Stegostoma tigrinum: one gene and its partners. The protein of the gene in region 4 purifies or fractionates together with the protein of the main gene of each other region. This does not show direct contact. Links are inferred from orthologs where the notes say so. Each region holds a gene or a part of one and is shown on either strand. Other genes may lie near its edges. The genes, in order: bag5, dnaJ homolog subfamily B member 1-like, intermembrane lipid transfer protein VPS13B-like and dnajc7.

Evidence for each region.
Region 1: the proteins of dnajc7 (region 4) and bag5 purify together in Homo sapiens (affinity purification with mass spectrometry; 4 studies listed by BioGRID and IntAct, with this or other methods). This does not show direct contact. The link is inferred for Stegostoma tigrinum from reciprocal best matches to the Homo sapiens genes DNAJC7 and BAG5.
Region 2: the proteins of dnajc7 (region 4) and dnaJ homolog subfamily B member 1-like purify together in Homo sapiens (affinity purification with mass spectrometry; 3 studies listed by BioGRID and IntAct, with this or other methods). This does not show direct contact. The link is inferred for Stegostoma tigrinum from reciprocal best matches to the Homo sapiens genes DNAJC7 and DNAJB1.
Region 3: the proteins of dnajc7 (region 4) and intermembrane lipid transfer protein VPS13B-like purify together in Homo sapiens (co-immunoprecipitation; 3 studies listed by BioGRID and IntAct, counting the BioPlex papers as one, with this or other methods). This does not show direct contact. The link is inferred for Stegostoma tigrinum from reciprocal best matches to the Homo sapiens genes DNAJC7 and VPS13B.

Annotation. Positions count from the first base shown.
Region 1 is NC_081363.1:40,506,126-40,513,564, reverse strand, and holds the start of bag5 (BAG family molecular chaperone regulator 5), read left to right. Parts: upstream 1-4,164; 5' UTR 4,165-4,194; exon of another isoform or gene 4,195-4,237; intron 4,238-5,851; coding exon of another isoform or gene 5,852-5,922; intron 5,923-7,439. Other genes in the region: cytochrome c oxidase assembly factor 8, read right to left, coding at 3,658-3,828. UniProt on the Homo sapiens protein: Co-chaperone for HSP/HSP70 proteins. It functions as a nucleotide-exchange factor promoting the release of ADP from HSP70, thereby activating HSP70-mediated protein refolding.
Region 2 is NC_081388.1:21,035,266-21,042,917, reverse strand, and holds the start of dnaJ homolog subfamily B member 1-like, read left to right. Parts: upstream 1-4,159; 5' UTR 4,160-4,268; intron 4,269-7,652. Other genes in the region: c35h19orf67 (UPF0575 protein C19orf67 homolog), read right to left, coding at 3,232-3,322. UniProt on the Homo sapiens protein: Interacts with HSP70 and can stimulate its ATPase activity. Stimulates the association between HSC70 and HIP. Negatively regulates heat shock-induced HSF1 transcriptional activity during the attenuation and recovery phase period of the heat shock response.
Region 3 is NC_081358.1:121,819,956-121,827,697, forward strand, and holds the start of intermembrane lipid transfer protein VPS13B-like, read right to left. Parts: upstream 3,415-7,742; 5' UTR 3,328-3,414; intron 3,271-3,327; exon of another isoform or gene 3,121-3,270; intron 1-3,120. UniProt on the Homo sapiens protein: Mediates the transfer of lipids between membranes at organelle contact sites. Binds phosphatidylinositol 3-phosphate. Functions as a tethering factor in the slow endocytic recycling pathway, to assist traffic between early and recycling endosomes.
Region 4 is NC_081384.1:12,732,012-12,740,102, reverse strand, and holds the start of dnajc7 (dnaJ homolog subfamily C member 7), read left to right. Parts: upstream 1-4,635; 5' UTR 4,636-4,698; coding exon 4,699-4,769; intron 4,770-8,091. UniProt on the Homo sapiens protein: Acts as a co-chaperone regulating the molecular chaperones HSP70 and HSP90 in folding of steroid receptors, such as the glucocorticoid receptor and the progesterone receptor.

The DNA of each region.
Region 1 (7,439 bases), on a different chromosome or scaffold from region 4:
TGCCCCCTCCTGGCTCTCCTCAGACCATTTTTGAGATCTTTCGTCGCCTGCCTGTAATCCTCTAGAGCTGAGCTTGACCCTAGCTTCCTCCACCTTATGTAAGCTACCTTCTTCCTTTTGATGAGAAGCTCCACCGCTCTCGTCATCCAAGGTTCCTTTATCTTACCCCTTCCTGCCTGTCTCAGAGGTACATATTTATTCATCACTCGCAACAACTGTTCCTTATACAGTCTCCACATGTCTATAGTGCCTTTACCATGGAACAATTGCTCCCAGTCCATGCTTCCTAACTCATGTCTAATCGCATCATAGTTTCCTCTTCCCCAATTAAATATCCTCCCATTTTGCCTAATCCTCTCCTTCTCCATAGCTATGTAGAATGTGAGGCAGTTATGGTCACTATCACCAAAATGCTCTCCCACCACAAGATCTGATACCTGCCCCGGCTCGTTTCCGAGCACCAAGTCTAGAATGGCCTCTCCCCTCGTCGGCCTGTCAACGTACTGAGTTAGGAAACCCTCCTGAACACACCTTACAAAAACAGCTCCATTCAAATCTTCTGCTCGAAGGAGGTTCCAATCAATATTGGGAAAGTTAAAGTCACCCATTACAACAACCCTACTACGTCCGCACTTTTCCAAAATCTGCCGACCTATGCTTTCTTCAATCTCCCTGCTGCTATCAATTTCTTTCAGTGTTTTTTTAATAATGCAGAGGATGGTGGGGGTGTCTGGAATTCGCTGCCTGGGTAAGTGGTGGAGGCAGAAAATGAAAACTCTTCAACATATCTGAATCTGCACTTTAAATGCTGTAAGCTGCAGGGCTACGGCCTGTGGTCAGGAATAAAGAATTAGAAAGATCATCTGGGTATCTTTGGGACAGACTGAACAAGATGTGCCAAACGGTCCCATTCTGTGCTGTATCATTTCTATGGTTCTGTTTTGACTGGGTGATAAATATTAGCCAGGACAAAAGGATAACTTCTTTGTAATTCTACATAGTATGAGGGGATTTTTTTTGTCCATGTGAGAGAACATGCAGTGTGAAAAAACTTGAAAAATCTGTGGATGCTGTAAATCAGAAACGAAAACAGAAGTTGCTGGAAAATCTCAGCAGGTCTGGCAGCATCTGTGAAGATAAATCAGAGTTAACGTTTCGGATCCAGTGACACTTCCTTGGAGCAGTTGGTGGCGAGGAAAATGTCAGTTTATGTGCTGAAGATCGGGTGGAATGAGTGGGTTGGGAGTGAACGATAGGTGGGAATAGTGTCCAAAGACAGAGAAGAACAGTTGGACAGACAAAGGAGTGGATAATGATCTGGCTGGGAGGGTGAATAGCTGTTAATGGAGACGGTTATTGGCTAACAATAGATAGTGTGTAATGGCAGAATATGTGAAAACAAGGCCTGGTGTGTAAAGTAGGGGTCTAAGTCATGGAAGAGTTCAGGCCCTACAATTATTGAACTTGATATTGAGTCCGGAGGGCTGCAGGGTCCCCAAGCAGGAAATGAGACGTTGTTCTTCCAGCTTGCGCTGAGCTTCACTGGAACTGCAGCAAGCTAGAGACAGAGATGATGGCCAGGGAACAGAATGGTGTGTGAAAATGGCAGGCAGAGTCTTTTTTTGTGAGCAGAATGCAGGTTCTGTGAAGTGGTCACCCAGTCTATGCTTTGTTTCCCCAATGTACAGGAGACCACATCATGAGCAGTGAATGTAGTAGACTAGATTGTGCAAAGTTCAGGTAAAGTGTTGCTTCACCTATAAAGTATGTCTGATCCCTTGGATACCGAGGAGGGTGGAGTTAAATAAGGAAGTCTAGCGTACTGGCCTTGATATTACAGAGGCTGAGCGCCTGCTCTTAGATAGATCCTCCTATTGTACCTGGATCATGACCTCACCATGACACATCAGACCATTGTATCTCTCACGGTCAGTGACCTCAGTTCAACCGTCACTGCCTCGAAGCTGATAGTTCCCCCAGCTCCACACAGCTCGCTTCTACCTCCTTCCGAAAATCCATAAACAGGACTGCCTGGGCAGACCCATCGTTTCAGCCTGCTCCTGTCCCACAGACCTCATCTCTTACTATCATGATTCAGTCTTTTCTCCCCGTTCCAGTCCCTGCCCATATATGCCTGAGATTCCTCTGACACTCTATTCCGGTTTCAGAATTTCCAGTTTGCAGGCTCCAGCCACTACCTTTTAACTCTTTACACATCCATCACCCCCCCACACACAGAATGGTCTCAGGGTTCTCCACTTCTTCCTGAATGGAGGCCTGAGCTGGCCCCACCCTCCTTCACACCCTCAACAACTTCATTTTTAACTTCTCTCATTTGCTTCAGGTCAGAGGGATGGCCATGGGTATCCACATCAGCCCAGTTACTCCTGTCTCTTAGTTGGGAACATGGAACATTTCTTGTTCCAGTCCTATTCCACTCCCACCCGCAACTCTTTCTCCAATATATTGATGATATTATCGGTACTAATTCCATCTCTCATCAAGAATTGGAAAAATTCTTTGATTTTGCTTCTAATTTCCACCCCGGCCTAACTTTCACCTGGTCTATCTCTGGCTCTTCCCTTCGTCAGCATCTGTTTCCATTTCTGGGGACAGACTAACCACTACATATCCACTATAAACCCACCGACTCCCACAGTTACGTGGATTATACATCCTCGCAATTCTGCCTTCTCTAAAGATTTCAGTGCATTCTCCCAGTTCCTCAAACTCGGTCGCATATGCTCCTATTGGGCCAACTTCAACAAGGGAGCTTCTGAAATGTCCACCTTCTTCCTCAACGATTCCCCAACACCATTGTCAACAAGGCCCTCAACCAGATTCGACCCATCTCTCACACATCTGCCCTCAGCCCCTCTCTTCCCTCCCACAACATTGATAGGGTCTCTGGATTAACAGTCCAGCAATAATACCACTAGGCCATTTTACAATTTTACAGGTCTGATTGAAAAAGAGATTCACAAATTACGTCTAATGAGGGGAAGGCATGAAGCTTTTCCTGAAAAGAACTTCTACAGCACTGGAATTTTTGATGTATGTACTTCATAGCAAAGTAGCAATCAATCTTTGATTGCAGTCAGTCTCAATTAGTCTCAAAATAGCTATCGGATGAAAGCAGCTACAACTCAAACAGCTCAATATCCAAGACAAGACAGCCCACTTGACCATCCCATTCACCACTTTAAACATTCATTCTTTATGGCAAACTGCATGACACGGGTGGCTGTAATGTGTACCATGCAATACACTGCACTAACTCTCAGAAGGTTTTTCCGCCAGCGTGTGCTAAATATTTTAAGATACTGCATCCAAAACGCAAAGGCTACAATTGCGGCATTTAACATGACAGCTTGAGATGGCTGATATACGTGAACGATTCTGCCAACGGATGAAAATTTTCCTCCATTGTCCACTTCTAACAATAATATTCAGCATCCACGCTGAGTTATCTCTTAATAAATCAAACCTTCGTTAAAGCAGTTTGCGGGGAAAAATCAAGCACAGTACAATATTATGTTTATATCCTACGTTAGGTAGATCAGGACAGTTCCCGAGAGGGTAATAAGTTTCAAATAACATCGACAGTCACCCTAGAGTTGCTTCACATTTACTAGAAACAGGAAAGTTGACATATACCTCGGTACCATTGTCACTTTGATCAGCAGCACTGCTCGAAACTGGACAGCACCTTCCTCCCAACACCACGTATTTGTCCCCTCCAGTTTCCTTTACCCGGGTACTATGAAATATTCTTGTTCTCGATAATTTTCCAACAAACGAAAAGACAGTTAGGCACCTACAGCTCATCACTGACAACACACAACCATCCGCCCTGTCCGAAGCTGTTCCAGTTTACGGCAGTAAGGAACCGACATCCTGTCGTGAAAGCGATCCGGCAGTTGGCAGGGTTTGGCTCTACGCATGTGCGTGGTCGAAAACTCTTCGAGCTATCGCTTTCCAGAGTTTCCGGGCGGGCAGTTGGCAGGGTTTGGCTCTACGCATGTGCGTGGTCGAAAACTCTTCGAGCTATCGCTTTCCAGAGTTTCCGGGCGGGCAGTTGGCAGGGTTTGGCTCTACGCATGTGCGTGGTCGAAAACTCTTCGAGCTATCGCTTTCCAGAGTTTCCGGGCGGGCAGTTGGTCGGTGAGTGGAAGGATCCAGAAGGAGCTTCTGGTGGGTTTGACAGGGAGTGAGCTCGTCTCCCTGTCCCACTTCGGTGTGTTCAATCGGGCGCGCACGCGGTTTGGGAGCGAGTCTCGTGCATGCTGTCTTTCGGTATGACCGGTGCGGCCTGGCCCGTATGACAGAGCCTAACGTGGAGTTTATCTCTCGAAGCCTGTGCCAACAGGCCGTCCGGCTTTTGCTGCGCTAACGCCTCATGAGTTTACTCAGAGATACTAGGATCTGCCGATGACGGAGCCTAAGATAACAAGGTGTGGAGCTGGTGAACACAGCAGGCCACACAGCATCAGAGAAGGGTCCAGACCCGAAACGTCAGCTTTCCTGCTGCTCTGATGCCGCATGGCCTCTTGTGTTCATCCAGCTCCACACCTTGTTGCTTCATAAATTACATCGAGAAGTGAAGACAAACTGGCTGCATCGCAGTCAGTGATACGTTAATCATCCTAGTTCCCGTGTAATCTGAAGGCACGATATGTCCAAGGGAGATTTTCTCTAGCACCACCCCGCAATCCAGCATACCATATCAACATGATCTGTGATGCTTAGTATCCTTCCTTTTTTTATTTTTCAGTCACAGAATCCCTACAGTGTGGGAAGAGGCTCTTCGGCTCGTGGAGTCTGCACCAACCTTCCGAAGGGCAAGATAACAAAGTGTGGAGCTGGATGAACACAGCAGGCCAAGCAGCGTCTTAGGAGCACAAAAGCTGACGTTTCAGGTCTAGGCCCGAAACGTCAGCCTTTGTGCTCCTAAGACGCTGCTTGGCCTGCTGTGTTCATCCAGCTCCATACTTTGTTTATCTCAGATTCTCCAGCATGTGCTGTTCCCATTATCTTCCAAAGGGCGTCCAACCCTATTGCCGTAACTCCCCATTTATGGCTAATCCACCTAGCCTGCACATCTTGGGAGAAAACCCATGCAAATGCGGGGAGAATGTGCAAACTCCACGTAGACAGTCACTCGCGTTTGGAATTAACTTGGGCCCTGGCTTAGTGAGGCAAAAGTACTATAGTGAGCCGCCCTATTCAGGAATTATCTGATCGAGCCCTTTTTCATGACGCACTATATGTGTAAGCCTGTAATTTGTTCCCTAAATGAATAGTCTTTTGGGAATAAGAATGACCTGCCATCCGACCAATTCTACCCTTGCGTGATTTATATGCAGGATCTGAAGTTACATCGAAGTTAAGAGCAGGATTTGACTCGGCTCTGCCATTCAATATCATCACGGTTGATTATTGAACTCAATACCTTAGGCCTGCCCATTCCTCCTCCTCCTTCCTTCGCGCCTGCTTCCCCACCCGCAAATATGCCTTAATCACGAGTCACAAGAGCTATATGTAGGTACATATAGTTGTATACTTTGAAAACAATGTTTTGGTCTCAACTAGTTTCTGTGGTCATGAAATCCACAGGTGTACCATTGTTCAGGTGTAGAAATTTCTGCAGAACTGAGTTCAAAAGGTTTACCTCTCGTCCTTAAATTATGACCTCTGGTCTGAACTCCCCCACATTTGGGAACATTCTTCCTCCATCCAACCTGTCTAGCCCTGTTAGAATTTTGTAGGTTTCTACGAGATTTCCCCCCCTCATTCATCTAAACTCCAGTTAATACAATTCTAACTGTGTCAATCTCTCCTCATACATCAGTTCTACCATCCCAGGATTCAATTTGATAAGCCTTCACTGAACTTACTCAATAGCAAGACACCCTTCCCCAGGTAAGGAGACCAAAACTTCAGTCATATTCCATGTGTGGCCTGAATAATTGCAGCAAGGGCATCCTCATTCCTGTATTCAAATACTCAAGCTTTGAAGGCCAACGTACGGTTTGCTTTCTTTGCTGCTGCACCTGTGTGCTTATTTTCAATGACTGGTGCATGATGACACCAAGTCTCATTGAACATTCTCCTCTTAATTTACAACCATTCAAATAATGATGTATTATCAAAGTGGTACTTTCTTATCAGTCCAGTTGAAATAACATATTTGCATGAAAACTTGAAACTTCAATATTTGAAGCAAATTTCCTGGTTACCACCACACTAGCCTATGCTTCTTTAAGGAACTAGAGCCAGCTCTTTGATAATTACTTCGCTACATAATTTCATGGAATAGAATCATAGAACCCCTACAGTGTTGAAGCGGGTCATTCATCCCATCAAGTTTGCACCAAACCTCCAAAGAATATCATGTCCAACCCAACACCCCCAACCCCCATCCCTACATTTCCCATGGCGAATGCACCTAGCCTGCACACTGTGGGTAATTTAGCATGGCCAATTCCCCTAACCTGCACACCTTTGGAGTGTGGGAGGTAGTGGAGGAAACCCACCTGCCCACTCCCATGCACAGATGGGAAAATGTACAAACTCCACACGGCCTGAGAGTGGAATCGAACCCAGCTCCCTGGCACTGTGAGGCAACAGTCCTAGCCACTAACCCCTATTGAGCGTGGCTGACACCGTATGGCTTTTCTCATCCATATATCTCTATGTAATATTTGAGAAAATGCAGGGAAGGTTTCACTTTGCATACATTTTGTAAACACGCAGTGAGGTACAGTTTGTTAGCAGCTATATTTTAGGCAACTGATCACAATGATCATCACCAGAATTCTAGTTAAAAGAATTAACAAAACAGTCCAAAGTTAATTGGTGGACAAACTAAGACAACAGGTGAATAACTGTAATTTAAAAATGATGTCTGAGTACAAATATCTACAAAACCTGACCTCCTTTTATCAATTTTCCAATACACAGTACATCAATATGTTCATTTTCAGGCTGGAAACAGCCCATGCAAACTTGCCATGCAAAAACTACATCCTCCCACTCCTGGTGGTACTGCTGAGACTGAATTTTGCATCTTTCAGCTCACTAGAAATATTTAGTCCATTTTGCCTGTTCTCTGAAAACACTCGTTCCAATTAGTCTCACCTTCTACTCTTTTCTGAGAGTCTTATAATACTTCTCCTTTTTAAACAGAGATCTAATAGTACCACCAAACCAGCATTCATTAATTTTTCAGGCACACATTCCACATCATTACAACTTGTTGACCATAAGAAATTCTCATCCACACCCAGAAATAGTGAAGAAACTCCTGTGTTCCAACCAACTTGATTTTGATAATTTCCAAATTGCTGTATGTTCTGGTAATTACTGTAAATTGTAAGAAAAAAAGGAGGAAATGTATGGCTTTAAATGGGATTTTAATTATACGTGTTCATTTCAAT
Region 2 (7,652 bases), on a different chromosome or scaffold from region 4:
TGCTACCAGTGCCACCTGCTAGTCAGAGTAGAAATGAAAGAATAGGCAGGTTGAGGGAAGGGTGAAATTGGTAACTAAATATCCCCAGATGTAGATGCTTTGGGCAGAATAGAAGGGGAAGTAAAAGGGGTGGAGGAGTTGCATTACTGGTCAAAGAGGGTATCACAGCTGTACTGAAGAAGGGTACTATGGAGGACTCGAGCAGTGAGGTAATACGGGCAGAACTCAGAAACAGGAAGGGTGTGGTAACAATGTTGGGGCTGTGCTACAGGCCTCCCAACAGTAAGCGTGAGATAGAGGTACAAATATGTGGACAGATTATGGAAAGGTATGGGAGTAACAGGGTGGTGGCGATGGGAGATTTTAATTTTCCCAACATTGACTGGGATTCACTTATTGTTAGGGGTTTAGATGGAGCAGAATTTGTAAGGAGCATCCAGGAGGGTTTTATGGAGTAGTATTATGTAGTCCAACTCGGGAAGGGGCCATACTGGATCTGGTGTTGGGGAATGAGCCGAGCCAGTTCGTTGAAGTTTCAGTAGGGGATTACTTTGGGAATAGTGATCACAATTCCATAAGTTTTAGAATACTCATGGACAAAGACGGGAGTGGTCCTAAAGCAAGAGTGCTAAATTGGGGAGATGAAGACTGTGGCAAAATTCAACAGAAGCTGGGGAGTGTGGATTGGGAGTAGCTGTTTGAAGGTAAATCCACACTTGATATGTGGGAGGCTTTTAAAGAGAGGCTGATTAGAGTGCAGGCAGACATGTCCCTGTGAAAATGAGGGATAGAAAGGGCAAGATTAGGGAACCATGGATGACAGGTGAACTCATGAGACTAGCAAAGAGGAAAAAGGAAGCATACATAAGGTCTAGGTGACTGAAAGCAGACAAAGCTTTGGAAGCACATTGGGAAAGTAGGACCAATCTGAAATGAGGAATTAAGAGGGTGAAAAGTGGTCATGAAATATCTTTAGTGAACAGGGTTAAGGAAAATCCCAAAGCCTTTTATTTGTACATAAGGAGCAAGAGGGTAACTAGAGAAAGGGTTGGCCCATTTAAGGACAAAGGAGGGAAGTTTTGTGAGGAGTCAGAGAAAATGAGTGAGATTCTTAATGAGCACTTTGCGTTGGTATTCACCGAGGAGAGGGACGTGACAGATGTTGAGGTTAGGAATAGATGTTTGATTACTCTAGGTCAAGTTGGCAAAAGGAGGGGGAAGTGTTGGGTATTCTGAAAGGCATTAGGGTTGGCAAGTCCCCAGTTCCAGATGGAATCTATCCCAGGTTACTGAGGAAAGCAACAGAGGAAGTAGCTGGGGCCTTAACAGATATCGTTACAGCACCCTTGAGCACGGGTGAGATCCCGGAGGACTGAAGAATTATTAATGTTGTCCCCTTGTTTAAGAAGGGTAGCAAGGATAATTCAGGTAATTATAGACCGGTGAGCCTGACGTTAGTGGTGGGGAAGCTGAGGGATGGGATCTATTTACGTCTGGAAGAAAATGGGCTTACAAGTGATAGGCAGCATGGTTTTGCACAGGGAAGGTCATGTCTTACCAGCTTGATAGAATTCTTTGAGGAAGTGGCAAATTTGATAGATGGTGGAAGGGCTGTGGATGTCATATACATGGACTTCAATAAGGCGTATGATAAGGTCCCCCATGGTAGGCTGATGGAGAAAGTGGAGTTGCATGGCATCCAGGATGTATTAGTAGATAGAAAACTGGCTGGGCAACAGGAGACAGAGAGTTGTAGTGGAAGGGAGTCTCTCAAAATGGAGAATGGTGACCAGTGGTGTTCCACAGGAATCTGTGTTGGGAGCACTGTTGTTTGTAATATACATAAATGATCTGGAGGAAGGTGTAGGTGGTCTAATTAGCAAGTTTGCAGATGACACTAAGATTGGTGGAGTAGCAGATAGTGAAGGGGATTATTGGAGAATGCAGCAGAATATAGATAGTTTGGAGAGTTGGGCAGAGAAATGGCAGATGGAGTTCAATCCAGACAAATACGAGGTGATGCATTTTGGAAGATCCACTTCAAGAGCAAACTATATGTAAATGGAAAAGCCTTGGGGAAAATTGATGCATAGAGAGATCTGGGTGTTTAGGTCCATTGTACCCTGAAGATGGCAACGCAGGTCGATAGAGTGGTCAAGAAGGCATACGGCATGCTTTCATTCATTGGACTGGGCATTGAGTACAATAGTTGGCAGGTCATGTTACAATTGTATAGGACTTTGGTTCAACCACATTTGAAATACTGCTTACAGTTGTGGTCGCCACATTACCAAGAGGATGTGGATGCTTTGGAGAGGGTGCAGAGGAGGTTCACCAGGATGTTGCCTGGTATGGAGGGTGCTAGCTATGAAGAGAGGTTGAGTAGATTGGGATTATTTTCTTTAGAAAGACAGAGGTTGAGGGGAGACCTGATTGAGGTCTACAAAATCATGAGGGGTATAGACAAGATGGATAGCAAGAAGCTTTTTCCGAGAGTAGGGGACTCAGTTACTAGGGGTTACGATTTCAAGGTGAGAGGAGGAAAGGTTTAGGGGAGATATGCCTGGAAAGTTCTTTACGCAGAGGGTGGAGGGTGCCTGGAACGTGTTGCCAGTGGAGGTGTAGAGGCAGGCATGACCGCGTCATTTAAGATGTATCTAGACAGATACATGAATAGGCAGGGAAGAGAGGGATAAAGGTCCTTGGAAAATAGGTGACAGGTTTAGATAGAGGATCTGGATCGGCGCAGGCTTGGAGGGCCGAAGGGCCTGTTCCTGTGTTGTAATTTTCTTTGTTCTTTATCTTTGTTCTTGTTCTTTGTGCTTGCTCTGGAAGATCCAACAAGTTTCAGGAAGACCAAAGAGAATCTTTCTCTGAGTTGCTGGTCCTCCAGGTGCAGTTGATATTTGTCTTGGTGTGTGTCCCCGGGAACAGACCGTCGAGCACACATACCTGTGTCATGGAGCTGCTCGGAATGAACCTCGACAAAAATCACTGCATCTCTCTCTGTATTTCGTTCGCAAAGGCACATTCCAGAAGGAGGTGTGTGCCAGTCTCTAACCCCACCTTGCAGCCACTTTGAGGGCAGCGTGCGGTGGTGCAGATTAACCGGGCGTACAAGAAGGATCTCACAGGCTGGAAAGTCTTCGGCTTTCAATTTAGTAAACACTCAGGTTTCCTATCCTTCCTTAAATAAAGCAGACTGGAGTCGTGGGCTCAACACTCTCTTACCAGTGATGTACAAGTAACCCTCCCTGTCATTGCTGCCCTTTCTCTTGCCCGGGGAGAAGTTGAATTTGGGGACCAAGAAGCAATTCCACATCTCGGAGATGAATGGATGAATGAAAACCGAAATAGCCACGGATGTTTTAAATCAGAACAAAAGTTGCCGGAAAAGCTCAGTAGGTCTGGCTGGATCTGTGAAGAGAAATCAGAGCTCACGTTTCAGATCCAGTGACCCATCCTCAGGAACTGACTGAATGAATGAGTGAATGCTGTTGCTGCGAGCATGTACCACAGCCCGGCCATCGCCTCGAGGGGGCGGGGTTTGGCGTAGAGGGGCGGGGTTTGAGTGTGGAGGGGCGGGGTTTGGTCTGTAGGGGCGGTGTTTATCGGGACGGCGTGGTTTTGGAGTGGAGGGGCGGAGAATGAGTGTAGCGGGGCGGGGTTTGAGGGTGGAGGGGCGGGGTTTGGTCTGGAGGGGCTGTGTTTATCGGGACGGCGTGGTTTGGAGTGGAGGGGCGGAGAATGTGTAGCGGGGCGGGGTTTGAGGGTGGAGGGGCGGGGTTTGTCCGGAGGGCAGGGTTTGGGATGGAGAGGCGGGATTTTAGGGTAGAGGGGCGGGGTTTGAGCGTGGAGGGGCGGGCTTTGGTGGAGATGCGGTGCGTTTGGTGTGGAGGGGCGGATTTGTCGGGGGTGCGGGTTTTGAAGGTGGAGGGGCGGGGTTTGTTGGGAATGGGGTGGGTTTGATGTGGAGAGGGTGGTCTTTGAAGTGGACGGGGTGTGTTTTGGTGTGGAGGGGGTGGGTTTGGTGTGGTGAGGCGGGGTTTGGAGGGGCGGGGGTATCGGTTTTGTCGGGGGGGTGGTGTGCGGAGGCCGGAGGCGGGGCTTGGACTGGTGGGTGGGATTTGGCGGTTGGGATCGGCGGGGCTGGGTGAGAAGGGGGCGGATCTGGTGAGGAGAGGAAGTGACGATGTATGGAATGTTCCTGAAAGTTCGAGCAATTTGTTGAAAGTGTTGCGGAGAGACGGTGAGAGCGGCGCGGCCTGGTGAGTGTTGCTGAGGGGTTCCGAATGTATCCAGGGTGAGGGGCATGTCCATTAGGTACATTGGCGGCCGAATGTATCCTTTCCCTTTTGTGTCAGGGCCCGGATACATTGTTTCCCCTTGCTACTTTGGGGAGAAAACGTTGTGGGTTGGGCAAGGTTTGAAGCTGTTGGAGTTAGGAAGGGGTGTGGACAGGACAGGGGCAGCCCCTGTGCCTGTTATTTGATAAATTGCCCCTCCCTGCCCTGTGTTGTGACAGACAGCCCGTGGGGGGGGGGGAAGCGGGTAGGGGGTAACGAGACTGCTCTTTCCCCATCATCGTACATTTTTCCAAAGGTTAGGGGAATGACAGGCCCTCCAGCCCAAGGTACTTTCAACGTAAACCTGCAAGGGTTAAGAACAGCCGTCAACTTCTACATCTCTCTCTTTCACCTTTCTTCCCCCGCTCCTCCCGTGTTCTGGTTTAATTGTCTTTCAAAGGGTGTATCCCATCCTGGCAGTAAACCAGAACTAAAGGGTCTTTACAATTCTACCCCCCCCCCACCCATAACAAAATTCCTTTTCTCAGCAACTCATAGGGTAACCTGACACTGACTGATCAGCTGTCAGATCCCAGCTGACATGGGGATTACAGCCAAAAGCAGAAATTGCAGGAGAAATCTTCTCAAAACTCGATTGCATGAGTAACTCAGTGGGTCTGGCAGTGTCTGTGGAGAGAGAGAGAGAAATGCAGTTAACATTTTGAGTCCTGCTGACCTTTCAGAACTTGAAAAGGGTAACCACACCAGCTAGCTGGTGAAACCAGGCCAGGACTTATTTGGAATGGGAGATCTCCTTCAAAAAGGTGCCATTTGCATTGCGTTTCTGAGCTTATGATTTCAGTTGGTCTTTTGTCAGGGGAGGGGAGGGGAGCTAAAATCTTCAAATGGTTGTGGTTTTGCTTTCTCTCCATTGCTTGCTAATTTCTTTGGGCTCTGTAATCTTTGCAACCCCATTGACAGAGTTGTGAAGAACTCCCTGAAATCAGTACAGTAGGCCTAAGGGCCTCTTTCTGTGCTGTGTAACTTTATAACTCTTTTCTCTTCTATTGCAGTTGTGTATCTGGAATGTTAGCAAAAACTTAAGGAGGTTATCTTTTCTGCCATCAGAAAAGATGATGAAGTGGGGGGTGTGGTTGACTTGTGAAAGGAGAGAAGGGTGACCTATACAGAGTCGGGGAAAGGACTTGTCAGAATTGTCAGGTGTGCAATTGATTTGTCATATGTACCAAAGTTTAGTGAAAAGCTTTGTTTACCAGCGGTTCAGGCAGATCATAGTAAGCGAGGATGTACAGGTCAAAAAGACATAGACAGGCAAACAGGATGTGTGCTAGGTGTGATCAATGTTAGTAAGATCAGTGTTGTTTGATGCTAGACAGTCTGTTTATCAGTCTGATAACAGCTGGCAAGCAGCTCTTCCTGAATCTGCTGGCCCTTGTGTTTGGACTTCTGTATCTTCTGCCTGATGGAAGAGCTTGTAGGAGGTCATTACTGGGTTGCAGTGGGTCTTTGATGTTGGCAGCCTTTCTGCGGCTGTGAGCTGTGTAAATGGAGTCCATGGATGAATGGTCATGAGGCAGTGAGAAGGTCCATTGATCCTTGAGTAATGCAGGACAATATCTTGAGGGGCATGGATAGGGTGAGTGGGTCAAGGCCTTTTCACTAGGGTTGGGGAGTCCAAAACTAGAGTTGGGAAGGGGGCTGGGGGTAGGATTTAAAAGGGACCTTAGGGGAAAGACTTGCCTGCAGAGCGAGGTGCCTATGTGGAATGAACTGCCTGGGAAGTGGTGGAGGCTTGTACAATTACAACATTGAAAAGACATCTGGATGGGTACTTGAATTGGAAGGGTTTAGTAGCTTGTGGGCCAAATGCTGTGTGATGGATCTGGATTGAGTTTGGATATCTGTTTGGCACAGGAGGGTTCGTGACTGCTTGTAAATGTTAATGACTCTGACTCACTGACAATGTTGGTGGCAACACAGGTAGGTTTGGAATTAAAAACCTAAACTAATGGTGGTTGGTGGGTAAGGGAAGACTTGTCTTTATAGCACCTTTCATGACCAGCATGGCTGTGGTATGTACTAGACGACTGAGATGTTTTTTACAGTACCAAAGTAGGTCGGGGGAAAGATACTGACCTGGGATATTGGGGAGGAACACCCTGACTTTATTTTCAAAATGCTGATTTTGTTTTTCCTCAAAAGACAGCTGGGAAGTAACATATTGAACCATGTGATGTGAACTTGAAGAAGAACCAAGGAAGGATTTTTTAACACAGCAATGGTTGAGATAGCTGGTCCAATTAGCAAAGAGCTCATGGGATCCAAGACAAAGTGGCACATTAGATCCAGAATTAGCTAAGAGCCAAAACGTAGAAGGAAGTTTCTCTGACTGGAAGTCTGTTTCCGGGGTGGGGGGAGCTGGCAACAAGTGAGGAAGATGGCCATAAATGGTGGGAAAACATCAGTGTACTGCTCACGTGGGCAGGGTAGTGGCAAATGGAATTAGTGCAGAAAAGAGAAGTAATGCACTTGGCGAGGGCCAGCAAGGCAAAGGATTACACTGTAAATAGCACTGTGGAAAGTATTGAAGTTCAGAGCGACCTTGATGTGCATGTCCATAGATCTGTGACAGTAGTAAGGCAGGTAGGTAAGTTGGTTAAGGTGTTTAGGATACTTGCCTTTATTAGCCAAGGTGTAGAATACTGCAGTAAGGAGGTTATGTATAAAACACTAGGTAGGCCACAATTGGAGTAATGTGTGCAGTTCTGATCGACACACTATGGAGAGAATGTGATTTTTCACTAGGGGAGATTTACCAGGATGCTGCCTGGACTGAAGGGTCTGAAATGTGAGGAAAGATTGGATAATCTCGGCTTGTCAGGTGACCCAGTAGAGATGTAAGATTGAGGGGTACAGATAGGGTGGGTAGGAAGACATTTTTCCCATTCGATGACATCAGTAACCAGGGAAGCATTTTTTTAAAGGTAAAAGGTCAAAGGCTAAAAGGGATATATTTTTCACCCAAATGGTAGTGGGAGTTTGGAACTCATTCCTGGAAAAGGTTGGTTGGGTCAGAAACTCTAATAACATTGAAACCATATTTAGATATTCATTTGCAGAGCTAAGGTCAAGAATTGGAAACTGGGGTTAGTGTAGTCAGATCATTGGAGTGGAAGCAATGGGCCATGTAGACTCTGCCTGTGCCGTAAACATCTAGGATCCTGAGTAAATGGCTTGCTCAATTGGTCAGGTGAGATCATGATATTTACAATGGTGGAAGTATGAGTCTAGATAGTAGCTGAAAGTTGATGGGCTGACTTTGTCCTGTTCTCATCCCAGCTTTCC
Region 3 (7,742 bases), on a different chromosome or scaffold from region 4:
TAACTACTATCACATCCATAGAATTTGTCTACAACCTTTGTTCTACCCCTTCAAATGAGAAATAAGCAGATTAATGTCATACCCACTGAATAGTGAAATAGTGAATAGATTTTAGGGAGCTGTTAAAACAATTCTGCCAAACCCTCTGTATCCTAATGAATCCCCAGCTGTATAGTACAAAGCCAATATGGCATTTCTACTGTTACAACCCAACATTTAACCTTATTTTTCTATTCAGCTCCTTGATATCTCAGCATTAAAGTAGTTATAAGAATAAGCCATACAGGCCAAAAGACACAAGTTAAACATGCTGAATTAATTGATGACAGCCACGGTAGTTAAGAAATACAGATATACCGCTTGATGCCTAGGAAACTGTTTCTTCTGCTGGTCAGGTGGAACACAGAGGCTGTTTCACCCCTCTCCCTAGCCAAACTAACAACCAGGTGTCCTGCTCCGAATCACTCTTCAGAGACTATTAGTGTTGAGTAATTTGTTTTCTGTGACCATCCTCATTTCCATCACATAGAATACCTCCAACGGGAAAGCAGCCATTTGGCCCATTGAACCTACACCAACACTTCGAAGAGCATTCCACCCAGATCCAGCACTACCCCCCCCCAACCATATATCAGTATCCCTGTATTCTCCATGGTTAATCAGCCTAGCTGCACATACTTGGGCAATTTAGCATGGCCAATCCACCTAATGCACGCATCTCTGGACCTTGGGAGGAAACCAGAGGACCCAGACGAAACGCAGACACTGGAGAATGTGCAAACTTCACACATACAGTTCCCCAATGCTGCAAACAAACTTGGGTCCCTGACGCTGTAAAGCAACAATGCTATCCACTGAGCCATTGTCCTGCCCACCTCATGTTACCTTCAGAGTTACTTTTCAACTCCATCAATAGTTATCAACTCACGTCTCATACACAGAAATCTACTGCGTCATGTTACACTCCAATCCACCTGTGAAAGAAATTCCAATTTCCAGGCAGTATGTATCAATTAACAATATGGCACTGCAGATTGGCACGCCAGCCAACACTTCATCTCAACATTATACAATCCAGAATGCAACATATGTTCAACCTCAACCAATGCCCCATATACTGAAATGCTATTCAGCAACAAGGATTTCCTACTACTTCCCACAAGTAGATTTTATTGCACCCATCTTATACCAAGTTGCTTTACACATAGAATCTCAAATCTCAAAATCAACAAGCACTTACAAATAAACAAACCACCCCTAACTGAACAAGAGTGACATTGACAAGAACTAGTTCATTTACTGTTCTTCCAGATCAAGGGTGCATATTTCAAAAGATATATGTTCATTTTGTGAGTTTTGTAATCTGTCACTTTCAAATACAGTGATCCTCAATCAGAGTCAAATCATTATGGGGCTACCGACAAATTTGTGTGAAGTGGAATTGCAAGATAGCAAAAGAGGCCTCTAGGCAACCTAACTTTTGACGATGTCAAACACATGCTCAATCTCAGAAAAACACAAATAAAAACACAATGACTCCCCTCTGGACCAGAAACGGGAGTGAGTTCTGCTTGAGCTACCTTGAACAACTTTAGCAAAGCTTCATCATCATCTGAGTTCTGAAGAGGAGTCACCGGACCCTAAACGTTAACCGTTTTTTCCTTCACAGATGTTGCCAGACCTGCTGAGCTTTTCCAGCAACTTTGTTTTTGTTCCTGATGTTTACCATCCACAATTCTTTCGGTTTTTATCTCATCACCGGGTTAGGCAATCATTCTCTTCCTCTCAGGAGAGGATGCCTGCTTTTCAAACTGTTTCAAGCAGCACAGTGGCTCAGTGGTTAGCACTGCTGCCTCACAGAGCCAGGGGCCCATGTTTGACTCCAACCTCGGGCAGTTATCTGTGTGGAGTTTGCACATTCTCCCCCTGTCTGCGTGGGTTTCCACTGGGTGCTTTGGTTTCCTCCCACAGTCCAAAGATGTGTGGGTTAGGTGGATTGGCCATGCTAAATGGCCCATAGTGTCTAGTGTGGGAAATGCTGAAATAGGGTAGAGAGTGCGTCTGGGTGGCATGCTCTTCAGAGGGCCAGTGTGCACTCGATGGGCTGAATGACCTGTTCCCACACTGTCAGGATCCTATGATTCTATGAAGAGGTCTGCCTTATGCTTCAGAATTGTTGACAAACTCAAGAGTACAATCGCCCAATTGTTAATGCCTGCTTTTCACTTCATGCTATGGTTTTTCACCTGCTGCACTAACTTCATTTTCTCTCTCGCACTTCAAAAGTCTGAATAGTCTTTCACAAGAATATTTTTTGTTGTCAAATGATGGTATATGATTTCATGATTGTGCACTCTAGTATGGCCTAACTCTGCTCCAATTGGTTGGTGTAGTCAGATTAAAGTTTGTACAAATTCAGCTAATCCAAAGGAACCAATAAAGGCCTTCAGTTTATCACAGGGATCATTCTCTGGTTGTGCCAGCTTACTAACAGGAATGGCTAACTTCACACAAGTGGAATTTTGCACTGTCCAAACTCAACTGATCACAATTTCACTACAGATCAAGTAGGCTTTCAGAACACAGAATGTCATACTAAAGAGCTTCATATATTGCTTAAGCATCCGCAGATATTTGAAAATTTCTAGAATGAAAAAAAAATGGAAAGAGAGAGAATGGAAGATGGCAATGTCAGGAAACTTCCGAAAAATTAACAGAACCAGATCTCAGCTTCTCTTCCAAAGCCCTCCTGGCAAACGTCAAACAATAAATGTTCGTCTTATATTTTAAAATATAGCAGGAAAGTAATCTGACTTTAACTGAGGCAAAGGGAATGCTTTTAAAGCGCGTGAGTTTATCTGCTGTTTAATCACACGTAGATCTGTCAAACTATCGGCGACCTGTACAAATTACACACCACAGGAACTTGTTACCTGCCAACATGGAATGCGAATGATCAAGCTATGTTAGTTTAACATGGTAACTACACCAGAAAGTACAACACAGCGTGGTGAGTCAGCCCCATGAGCAAACAGAGGAAGCAAAGTCAGTCCCCTTGCTGTCAGGTAACAGGATGGGGCAAGGCCACAAAAACTCTTCAGCTGCTCTCAAGAGACCCACCTCCGGCAGAGATCACACAAATTCAGCCTGACATCGAGCAGGCAGCCGGCAGGTCAACGGCTGATCGAGGATTGGTGCTAACTCCCCAACAGACATTAAACAGCCGCTTCCACCACCATTACCATCATCAGCATCAGCATCACCTCGACACTACAGTCAACCCCCCACTCCCTCCTCCCATCACCAACGCAACTCTCCCACACTCACAGGATGACCGACGACAGACTCTTCCAGTATCCCGAGGTGCAACGCGCCTAGTTTTCTCCCCGGGTGGATTCGGATTCTGACTCCAGCCCAAACCCTTGACCCATCGTGCTAACGTCATTTCCGTCAACCGAACGGTTCCGTCGGTTTGGTGGCGGGCGGGACTGATGTGGCGCAGGCGCACTGGTTGGCCTGAAGGAGGGTGTGTGAGAGGTGCAGGAGGCGGAGGATTAAACCGAGAGCTCATTGGACGCTCATGAGCGATCCAGCACCCAGGGAAACAAAGATGGAACAAATAGTCAAGTAAGTGTTGTGGTCGGGACAACTTTCTGCCTGATTAATTTTTATTTGCTTTCAACCAGCCCCGCACCTCAGCGACTGATCGCACTGAAGCCCGGGGCCTCCTGTGACAGCAGTAGCCTCCAGGGGGATCGTATCTTTTCGCCACTGCTGAAGCACTTTGCTCCCTCTCTGCGATTCTCCGCTCTCCCTTCTGTCCTTTTCCTTCCCCTGTCCACCCTCACGCCGTTCCTTCACAAACCCTCCCAGTACTCCATCCCCTTCACCTCCCAGCCTCCGACCCACTCTTGCCTCCACAACACACTCCCCCCCCCCCCCCCCACCAACCGACCCCCACGGACCCCTCCTCAGCAGTTACTCGATACACAACCTACTCTGTCACTTCCCGCTGCCTGCTCTGTTCTGCTCTCTTCCCACCACTTAGCCAACCCTCCTGACGCACACTTCGCCCACTCCCAATTTTGTACCTCCACTGACACCTTCGTCCACCCCTGCCTTCATCAATCTTCCTCCCGTCCTCCTCATCTTCCCACCTTTTCGATATGCCCAAATTTTTGAGGGCATAAATCACGTTAGAGCAATTTGACCTAGATGAACAGCAATGATTTTGAAGAGAATGGTGTGGTCAGCTGCATTAAAACAAAACACAGATGAGCGAGAAGCACAAGGAAGGAATAGTCTACTTTTGTCACATCATATTGGATATACTTTGTGACTTTGATTGGAGATATTTCAGTATTGGAGAACTGCATCATACTCTGAAAATATGTTCTGGATCATAACAACTGGCAGCATTGAAAAGAAGGAATTTTCTGCATCTTGCCTGGCCATTTCATCAAACACCTTAAGTTGATGTTGTTTGGTTGTCAGACCTTAGACCAATTTAATTGGCTATGTCTAGATCTGTCATGAGTTTAACCATCTCTGAATTCTCTTCTCGATATTCTGCAAGGAAGAAGCAAGAATTGCAATTGATGTTGATTGTAATGAGCGACCAACAAACATTGTCTGTGATCGTTTGTCTGCATGTGTGAAAGGGATATGCAATTTTAACTTATGAGTTGGGTAATGAGTTAGATAAAATGCAAATAGATGTTTAGATGTACAGAACCTGACTATTGGAAAAAAGGACACACCTTATCAAAGCCTTTCATCTTGAGGTCATCGGAACAATTTGTAAGAATGCCAGTTGAAGACAAAAAATGATTTTTATGCTGTTTGAACGAAGAGTGCTGCTTGATGACAGTTGTATTCTGGTGTAGTGATTACTTCAGAGAATGCACCTGTTGATTCCTTTCCAAAAAGGTCCAGCACAAGCCAGGGCCCCTGCACACCTCTTATACCCATGACAAGAGACAATAATGCTGTATATAAATGAGTGTCCTCTCTACATATTAAGTAGCCTTCAACTCAGCAACTGAGGAAACAATCACTTTGTACTCACAATTTGAATTTGCTAAATAAATAAGTAGAACAAAGGTTTGAAATCTTTTAATAGAAGGAGAAATGAACCATTCTGTTGAAAAACAACATAAATTTCGAATTAATTGAACTGAAGCATGTGAAGTTGAACAGCAGAGCTCAAAACGTTACAAAATGGGAAACAAAATAAAAATTATCCGTACAAGCATTTGTGTATTGATAGGTTTTACTGAAATATGGAAGACACTTATTGACACCTTCCATTACCTCAAGATGTGTCTTAATGTGTTACAGTAATCCAGCACTTTTGAAGTGTAGCCGCTTGTATTATCTAAATGTTGTATTGCTTTCTGTTGGGAATGTGAAATTAAAATGGTGATTTACAAAAAAAAGTTGTTGCTCATTTGCTCGTTTAGATACTGTTTTGTTAGCCCTGTTTTCAATCTTTGCCTTAATGCTCACTGCTCACTTTCTGCTGCAGTTTTGACAATCTTTCAGTCATGGTCTTGGAATTGGATTGTTAAGGGAGGCTGTTTATGGCATTGTTATAAATGAGACTTAGAAGATTGTTGTTTGGAGACTGTGTCTTTTCAATCTCGGGTAAAATGGAGAAGGAGTCATGAGACTTTTTCTGATTCAGCCTGATGACAAATACAGGAGTGAAACCAGAAGTTGTTGGGAAAGCTCAGCAGGTCTGGCAGCACCTGTGAAGAAAAAAAATCAGAGTTACTATTTTGGGTCCAGTGACCCTTCCTCAGAACTCGGAAACTCAGACAAATACTGCATTCCTAAAGGTTAAAGCGGGTCAGGGAGATGTAAAGGTTGTTTTACTGGAAAGAAGATATAAGATAGTTGTGGAGGGGGTTGGGGAAAGAATGTCCGTCTAGGGCAGTTGCACTAATGGCAGACAGCGTCACAACTCACTGTGGTAGTGTGCTGGAAATGAAGCCCAATATTCCCAGACTTATCATGTTTTTTTATTTACCCTTGGGATGAGGGCATCCCCTACTGGCCAGCATTTATTGGCCATCCCTAGTTGCTGTTCACAAGGTGGTGGCGAGCTGCCTTCTTGAACTGCTGCAGTTCATGTGCCAAAGGTTGACCCACAATGCCCTTATGGAGGGATATCCTGAATTTTGGCGCAGTGACAGTGAAGGAACAAAGATATATTTTCAAGTCAGGATGGTGAGTGGCTTGGAAGGGAACTTGCAGGCGGTAGTGTTTCCATGTATCTGCTCACCATGTCTTTCTGAGTGGAAATGGCTGTGGCTATGGACAGAGCTATCTAAGGATATTTGGTGAATTTTTGCTGTGCGTCTTGTAAATTGCATACAATGCCTCTGAACGTCGGAGGTGGAGGGAGTAGATGCTTGTGGATATGGTGCGAAAGTGTGGTTGGAGCCATGCCCATTCAGGCAAGTTGGGAGTATTTCGTCACATTCCTGACTTGTGCCTTGCAGATGGTGGACGGCTTGGAGGAATCAGCGGGTGAGTTACTCACCATTGTATTCCTAGGCTCTGACCTGCTCTTGTAGCCAGTGTTTATGTTGTAAATCCAGTGTGTTTCTAGTTGGATGTTGACAGTGAGAATTCAATGATGGTAACATCATTGAATATCAAGGGACTGTGGCTAGATTGTCTCTTAGTGGAGATAGCTATTGCCTGGCATTTGTGAGCACAAATGTCACTTGTCAGCCCAAGCTGGGATATTGTCCATTTAAACGTGACAGCCTCAGTGTCTGAGATGTCATGAAAAGTGCTGAACATTGTGCAATCATCGGTAAACATCACCACTTCAGACCTTATGATGAAGGGAAGGTCATTGATGAAGTAGCTGAAGATGTTTGGGCTGTAGACACCACCCTCAAGAACTCCTGCAGAGATGTGCTGGAACTGAGTTGACCAGCTTCTAACAACCGCAACCATCCTCCTATGTGCCAGGCATGAATCCAACCAACAGAGACTTTGCTCCCCGCTACCCATTGATTCCGGTTTTGTTAGGGCTCCTTGATGCCACGTTCAGTTGAATGAGGCCTTAATGCTGAGGACAGTTACTCCTACCTCACCTCTGAAATTCAGCTTTTATCCCCATTTGATCCAAGATCAGGAGTTGAGCGACCCTGGCAGAACCCATCCTGGGCATCACCTGAGCAGATTATTGCTGAACAGATGCTACTTGACAGCATCGTTGATAACACCTTCCATCACTTTACTGATGTTCGCAGGTAGACCAATAGGCAGGAATTGGCTGGATTAGGTTTGCGTACGGGACATAGCTGGGCAATTTTCCCCATTGTCAGATGCCAATGTTGTAACTATACTGGATCAGCTTAGCTGGAAGACTGACAAATCCTGGTGCACCAGTTTCAATAGTATTGCCAAAATATTGTCAGGGCCCATAGCCATTGGAAACTGAAATGTCTTCAACCGTTACTTGATATCATGTGTAGTGAATTGAATTTGTTGAAGACTGGTACCCGTAATGCTGGGGACCACTGAAGGAGGCTCAGATGAATAATCCTATTCACACTTCTGGCTGAAGATTGCAGGAAGTAATTCAGCCTTATTTTTTGCATATGTGAGAAGATTTACTGCCAAACTATTCAAAGTTCCCTATTTACCTGACTTATGAACCCAGCTTAAAATAACACAATCATATTTATATACTTTAACAAAATAATGGTTCATTGTAAATA
Region 4 (8,091 bases):
ACACTTTTTTAAAAATTAGTAATATTGGCTGTGGGATAAAGTGGTTATCCCTGCTGTCTCACAGTGCCAGGGACCCAGGTTTGATTCAGGTGACCGTGTGGAGTTTGTATATTCTCCCCGTGTCTGTGAGAGTTTCCTCCGGGTGCTATGGTTTCCTCCCACAGTCCAAAGATGTGCAGGTTAGTTGGATTGGCCATGCTAAATTCTCAATCGTGTCCATGGACGTGCAGCCTAGGGGGCTTAGCCACAGGAAAATGCAGGGTTACCGGGACAGCCTAGGGGTCTGGGCGAGATGCTCTTCAGAGGGATAGTGCGGATCCAAATGGCCTGCTTCCCCGCTGTAGGGATTCAATGTTCAAAAGGGGAGCAGTTCCCTGCCAAGAGATCTTCCACATCCGCCTGGAAAAAGGGGTGTTGAACAACCCAACTGAAACATGTCAACTCTGGCAGAGCAGCACTGCCCTTGGGCAGATCAGCCTGGATTCTGCTACTCAAGTATCTGGGGTTGGAAGTTGAATACAAAAAAAGTCTCCTGTCCCAACTGGCCAAACCACTGAGCCATAGCTGAAAATAATGCAAACCTAAAAGGCTGATGAACACTGTGTAACACATAAACAGGATGAACATAAAATAAACAGATTAATATTTCCTGCCCAGTGAGATCCCAGCCCCTTTCCTGATTGCTGATAATATTTTTACCTGCAAATAATTAGTGAGAGGTTTGAGAGGACGCAACTTCACTTGGGACTCGGTTGGGACGTCCGTGAGGGAGCAGATAAGAATATTGATATCGACTTGTTCCCGGCAGATGAACAGATTAAAGTAAACAAAGGCTTTCCTCCTCAGAACAAGCCCATCCACTGCTTCCATGCAACAAACAAGGAGACGACGCGGAGAATGCGTTACCTCAGCCCCTCAGGCTCGGCTCCACAAACAGCGCCCTCAAGAGGCCTGGAGGAGAGTTTGCCCTTTGTTTCCTCACTTTGTTTGATTGGGTAGGATTTGAAAATTACTCACAACCCAACAGATTTTATCTTTGTAAATATTGGTTCTATTTCGCCAAATGCATTTATTTCGCTGGAAAGGAATACTTTCATCTTTGTATGTTTGTCTACTTGTTCATGGGATGTGGGTGTCACTGGCTACTGGCTGCTATGTATTCCTGCCCCCGAAGGTGCCTTTCACACAGGACGTCTCAAAGGCCTTGATGGCAGATGAAGTTATTTTGGAGTGTTGTCCCTGTTGCTAAGTAGGAGATACAGCAACAAACCTGCAATTACAGCACTGTGATCGTCTTTTTTTTGCAGTTTTGATTGATTGCCAAGTGTCAGACAGGAGGGCATAACTCTCTTACTACTCTTTGCAATAGTACCATGTCTGCCAGATGGCGCAGATGCAACCTTAGTTTACTATCTGAAAGACAATACCACACCAGCTTGGATTTTTTTTTCATTTACATCTCCGGAGTTGGACTTGGGCCTATAACCTAATTCAGAGGTGAGAGTGCTACCTTCAGAACCACAGCTGCCACCTGCACAGGATTGTCACTACCCCTTTATCCCTTTGCTTATTATTTGTTAATGGGATGTGGGCATTCCCAGGCCACCAATTATTGCCCATCCCCAATTACCCTTGAAAACTGGTGCTGAATTGCGGTCTTGCACTGCTGCAGTCTGTGGAATGTAGGGCCAACCACAGTACATTTAGGAAGGGCGTTCCAGGATTCTAACTCAGTCGCACTGGAGGAACAAGTCAGGATGGTTGTAGTTTGGAGGGATCTTGTAGGTGGTAGGGTTCCCAAGTAATTAATTGTTTATACAAAGGATCATGGTTGTCAATATATATTAAAGTTACATAAAATCACATAATTGTACAAACAATTGTTCACGTGTGGAGAAAAGCTACTTGGTAAGTATATCAGCGGATGTCAGCGTGGACATCATAGCTTCAGGGTCAGGGCAAGGAAAGGTGGTTCTCAAAGCACCAAAATATGTTGACAAGGTAATTGTAAATAAGAGCAGATCTCAGCCCATCCATGAAATGGTGCACAACTGAAAGCTTGAATTAGACGTGGATCAGAAATAAGGTTGAAGTTAGATTGGAGAAGTGAAAGGTTGTCTGCAAACCCAGAACTAGCTTTAAAAAGGCAAACATTCAGAACTGAATTGCGTTGTAATTTTTAGATCTCGTACAGGTTTTGGTTCCCTCTGTCCTTCTCTGAGTCCTTTCACAAATAACAGAAAAGACCCGTTTACCCCCAAGTTGGCACAGAATGATCGTAAATTTAAATGGGAGAAAATGAAATGGCATACTGTCACATTTTTGAGATTGAATAAATTAAACTACATTCCACAGATAAAAAAAAGTAAACCAAAAAGTAATACTCAAATGTTTTACACTGATCGTACGGTCCTCCATTTTAAAGTATCTTGGACAATTTGGTTCATATGTGTCATTCATCAGTTTTACTGTTTTTTTTCCTCTGGTTATTGTTAGGGATTTACACCAAATTGTGCATAAATTCAGGTGTTTGCATACAGGTTAAGTAATTGATTAGCTCCACAATCACAACATGTGGCAGTCATTTTTGGATTGCCAGGTGAGGGTCAAATTTGAGAAGTAGATTAATGACCTCTTGATTGGAATTTGTAACTTGGTCACAGACATTAGAGAAGTGCCAGGTTTGCACGAGGCCACAGCACCCCCGAACTTGTGAGGACAAAATCTGCAAGGTTCCCACTCTTGATGATTATTCGCTGATTTAGACAATAACATGAATTTCAAATAGAATTGTAGTTAACCATGATACACTCAAATCAAATAGGCGCTTAACTTTGACTGACAAGGCACTGGAATATTGTATTGTAAGATTGACACCAGGCTGGAAAAATACCACAGAATACCTTCAGAGAAACAAACAAAGGGAGCAAGATAAAATTGATATATCACAAAAAAAGTCAAAAATACCCAATTTTGGCCTTTTTTATGTAGTTAACATAATTAAATCAAGCTGAGGTCTATACCAGAGTTACAGTCAAGAAAGCACACCAATGCCTCTACTTCTTCAGAAGGCTAAGGAAATTTGGCAGGTCTATAATGACAGTTAACAATTTTTATAGATTCACATGGAAAACATCCCATGCAATGCATCACAGCTTGGTATGGCAATTGCCCAAGACTGCAAGAAATTGCAGAGAGTTGTAAACACAGCCTTGTCCATCACACAAACCAGCCTTCCGTCCATTGCCTCTGTCTACACTTCCTGCAGTCTCAGAAAAGCAGCCAATAATAATCAAACACCCCACCTACTCCGGTTATACTCTTCAAACCTCTTCCATCAGGCAGAAGATACATAAGTTTGAAATCACATACCAACGGATTTAAGAATAGCTTCTTCCCTGCTATTATCTGACTTATGAAGGGACATCTCATATATCAGAATTGATCTTTCTCAGCACCTTCTTTTAGTTTTAACACTACATTCTGAATTCTGTACTATTACCCTGAAGCAGTTATGTAACGTATGATTTGTCTAGTTGGCAAGCAAAACCGAAACGTCAGCTTTTGTGCTCCTGAGATGCTGCTCAGCCTGCTGTGTTCATCCAGCTTCACACTTTATTATCTTGGATTCTCCAGCGTCTGCAGTTCCCATTATCACTCATCAATAATTTCCACTGTAGCTGAGTACATGGGACATACTGCTAGTGTTGCTGCCAAACATCGCATTACGTCGCTTGTGTTAGTGCCAGGAAGTGCAGTTATCATCAGTGCCACAGTACCAGGCATAGTCTCCATTACAAAAACAAAAATTGGTGGAAAAACTCAGCAAGCCTGGCAGCAGCTATAGAAAGAAAGCAGAGGTAATGTTTCAGGTCCAGTGACCCTTTTTCAGAACTATCTATGTTGGTTGTGTTGGTGCCAAACAGTGCAATTATCATCGGGTTAGTGGGCAAGCACTACTGTCTCACAGTGCCAGGCACCCATGTTCAATTCCAGCCTCGGGTAACTGTCTGTGTGGGGTTTGTACAATCTCCCCATGTCTGTGTGGGTTTCCTCCAGGCGCACTGTTTTCTCCCACATCCAAAGAATTGTCGATTAGGTGGATTGGCCATGCTGAATTCTAGTGCCCAGGATGCATAAATTAGGCGCGTTAACCATGGTAAATGCAGGGTTACAGGGATAATGTAGGTGAGGCGAAACCGGGTGAGATGTTCTCCAGAGAGTCGGTGTGGACTTGTTGGGTCGAATTGGCTGTTTCCACATTGTAGGGATTCTATACAATCCCAAGGTGACAGGCACAGTCAATCTGGTAGTGATTGAGATAACAAAGTGTGGAACTGGATGAACACAGCAGGCCAAGCAGCATCAGAGGAGCACAAAAGCTGACGGCTGAAATGTCACCCTTTGTGCTCCTAAGATGCTGCTTGGCCCGCTGTGTTCATCCAGCTCCACACTTTATCTCGGATTATCCAGCATCTACAGTTCCCATTATCTCTGTTAGGGATGGTACCAGGTAAATAATCAGCATCAGGGTCACAGAGCCAGGCTGATGGTACCAGGGCCAGCCAGTGGAGGTCCTCCATCTGTTTGGGAGGTCTGCAGTAGTTTATGCCGCAGGGATGCTCTTGCCTCCCGCCCGGCGGGTGGAAGCCTCGTTGTTCCGGAAGCCGGTCGGTACCGGGGTCCGGGTGTTGGGAAATGGCGGCCGGAGACTGCGATGTGACGATGGCCCCGGAGCCGAACGGAGCGGGAGAGGCCGATCTGGAGAGGTAACCGGGAGGGGAAGGATACTGCTGGATCCCCAGGCGGATGAAATAACAAACAAGGGCTGGGCCTTGCCTGGAAGCGGGGCTGGGTGATTGAAGTCCCTGAGGGTGAGATATAGGCCCCGGGGGAGAAGGCGGTTAACCCTGTGCCCGAGGAACACAGGATCCTGGAGAAGGACAGGCCCAGGCTGCGGTCACAAGTCCCATCGCGTTATCTGCGTTAAACATGTCTCAGGCGTTTGTCAGTTTTATATAAACGGCTGAAAAATAATTGATCATTTCTCAACCTTTGATGCTACAACTATCCTTTCCTCCTGTTGGTGCCTTCGTTTATACTCGGCACATTCATATTTCTTCAAGATAGTTATTATTTCTAATTTACAGGCTTTGGAATTTTAGACAAGATTATTTTGTGTCCAGGAAGCAGCTCTCCCCAGAATCCACGTGGGGCTTTGTGCCAATAATGAAATGGCAACCTTCCTTCCCCCACCCCCCCCCCACCACCATAAATACTAGAACCTTCCTCTTAGAACACTTACGAAGATGTAGTCTGCGTTTTACCAGATATCAATTTGTTCTCACTCCATTTTATTTAATTCCCAAATGGTCTGATTTATCAAACATTGGTTTGCTCAGCCAAGTGTAATAATGTGGGTTAGAAGACCCAGGCTCTGCAGGAGCCAGAGATTTCTCAGTTTAGGGATAACTTCGTTCATTTTTGTTCCGAGACATCTTTCCCCACCCTTCCCCTTAAATCTAAAACTTCATCAGAGAATAGATATGCAATGAGCAGTGTATTAATTCACCAGTATTTGTTTGAAGTCAAGTCTGAATACAGTACCAGGATTTTGTGCCCAGAAATGTTGTTGGAAATATATTGGGGTTGTAAAGTATTCTTGGCTGTAGAAGGTCAGGGATGACTTTATTGATTTGTTTCAGATGATAAAATAGATGTGATTGATTGAGAAATCTACCACCTGTAGTAAGGACGGGTTTGAGGGACAGAATGGCCTACTCCTATGCCAGCATTTCTTTGAACTGATTATTGATGCGCCCTTGTTTCTTGTACTTTTTATCCCACACTCCAAAAAGAAATTACATGCCCTGAATGTAAGTGGGCATTAATTAAGCCAGAAATAATAGTGATGTTGAAAGATCGAGCACATCTGCCTTTTTACAACTCTCATTTCTGAAATATTTGCAAACTCCCGAGTAATGCCTGTTTGTGAAATGAGTATTTGTGTATATTTACATGAGGTAGAAAGTTCTTTTAGAGATCTAGCCCGAGAAGTTGTGGACTGAATGGTTGCCACTGTATTGGAAAATTATACGATGATTCCTTTGCTATTTCACCCATGATTGTACTAATTTCAACGTACAATTAACATTTTGATCTATTCCGTTACATGAAACCTGTATTGAATTAGCTTTGATTCTTCCCAGGCATACATCCATGGAAGTCCATCACCTTGAAATCGTTTGACTTTTATTCATCAGTCTGCAGAATAAAGATCCTGAAAAGAGAGCCCATTAGACTTGGCACACTTGTATTGGCCCTCTGAAAGCTTAACACTTCTACTCTTTCCTAGTACCTTTACTTAAGTTTTTTTCTTCAATATTTTTAATCCTTCTTTAAAGATGGTAATAGATTCTTTACAGCCCTGTTTTCTTTTGAGTATCCTTTGTGCTATTCAAAGGAAGAAACAAATCTTATCCTTTTGTTCTTCTGATTAGCTTAAATTTACACAGCTGCTAGTTTCCAATTCAGAAACCGAGGAAATTAACTTTCTCCAAATTTGCTTCATGTCATAGAATCACAGTCATACAGCACAGAAACTGCCCTTCTGGCTCATATCCCTCCAAATGTTTCCTGTTCATAAATTATCTAAATGTCTTTTAAACGTTATGTGTATGGGATTGTCTGATGGCTTTTAGGTCAGGAGAGTTGTGGTAAGGGCTATGTATCGAGGTAGAGAATAGCATGTGAATGTTTATAACTGTGCTTAGAAACAACCCTATTCGGAAGCTCACCTGCAGACTTGTTAAGTAATTCTTTCTCGGACCCCGACTTGCATATGTCTGGGAAACGTTATGTGTGACTGAATTGGAATTCAAAATGGACGTCTTGTGGAGGAGTATTTGAGCAGAGACAAATAGATCACATCAGTCTTCCAAAAGCCTGACAGTGGGGTGCTATTACTCAGCAGTTCACAATTAAACATTAAACTCATTACATAAAGGGGTTATGTCTGAATTTCAGAAGATTTTGATTGAGTTTGTCCGTTGAATGCTTCATCGTTGCAGTTTTCATTTATATAACACTTGTTCTTCCAGACAACTGTGTGGAAACTGTTAATTATAGAACGGTTACAGATGACATAAAAATGTTATATTTGTCATCAGAAGTCTTGGGTGACAAAATTTTCTTTCTGAAAGTGCGCTCCAACTCTTATGATAAAATATTACAGGTGTACTTCATGCTGAAAATTTCTGAGCTAATTTGGTGTTGGGGTAGGTTAGTGTAGAGCTGGAACACTATTAGAACATAGAACAATACAGCACAGTACAGGCCCTTTGGCCCACGATGTTGTGCCGAACTTTTACCTGAAACCTAAGGTCTATCTAACTTCCACCCCTACCTTATACTATCATCCATATGCCTATCTAATAGCAGCTTAAATGCCCCTAATGAGACTGGCCCCACTACCCTCTCCAGCCATGCATTCCACGCCCCTACCACACACTGAGTAAAGAAAAGTACTTCACTGCCTCCCTAAGGGGTAAACAATGCAGTAGGAGAAATATTATAAATTGCAAAATAAGAAGGCGTCTCAATATTTTGCAAGTTTCAATCAGATTCCCCCTGATCCTTCTAAACTCTATGGAGTACAGAACCAGAGTCCTCAACTCTCCTCATGTGACAGATTCCTCATCCCTGGGATCTTACATGTCAATCCTCTCTGGGCTCCTCTGAAACATTCTACCTTAGATTCAGGGCTTGAAATTGCTCACAATATTTCAAATATGGTCTAACCAGAGCCTTATACAGCCTCAGCAGGACATCTCTGCTCTTGTATTCTAACCCTCTTGAAGTGAATGCTAACATTGCATTTGCCTTCCTGACTGAACCTGCCTGTTAACCTGAAGAGAATCCTGAACTTGGGAGTACCAGAAAAACTCTGGTTTGATCCACTTGCAGTAGTGTTGTTTAGAACTGAATGTTGGACTGGTGTTAGCATTTTTTACCGCTTATCATGTTGCAGATCATGCCAGTCAGATCTGTTACATGGGTAAGTTTGAATTTATTTGAGAGCTGGGAGCTCGT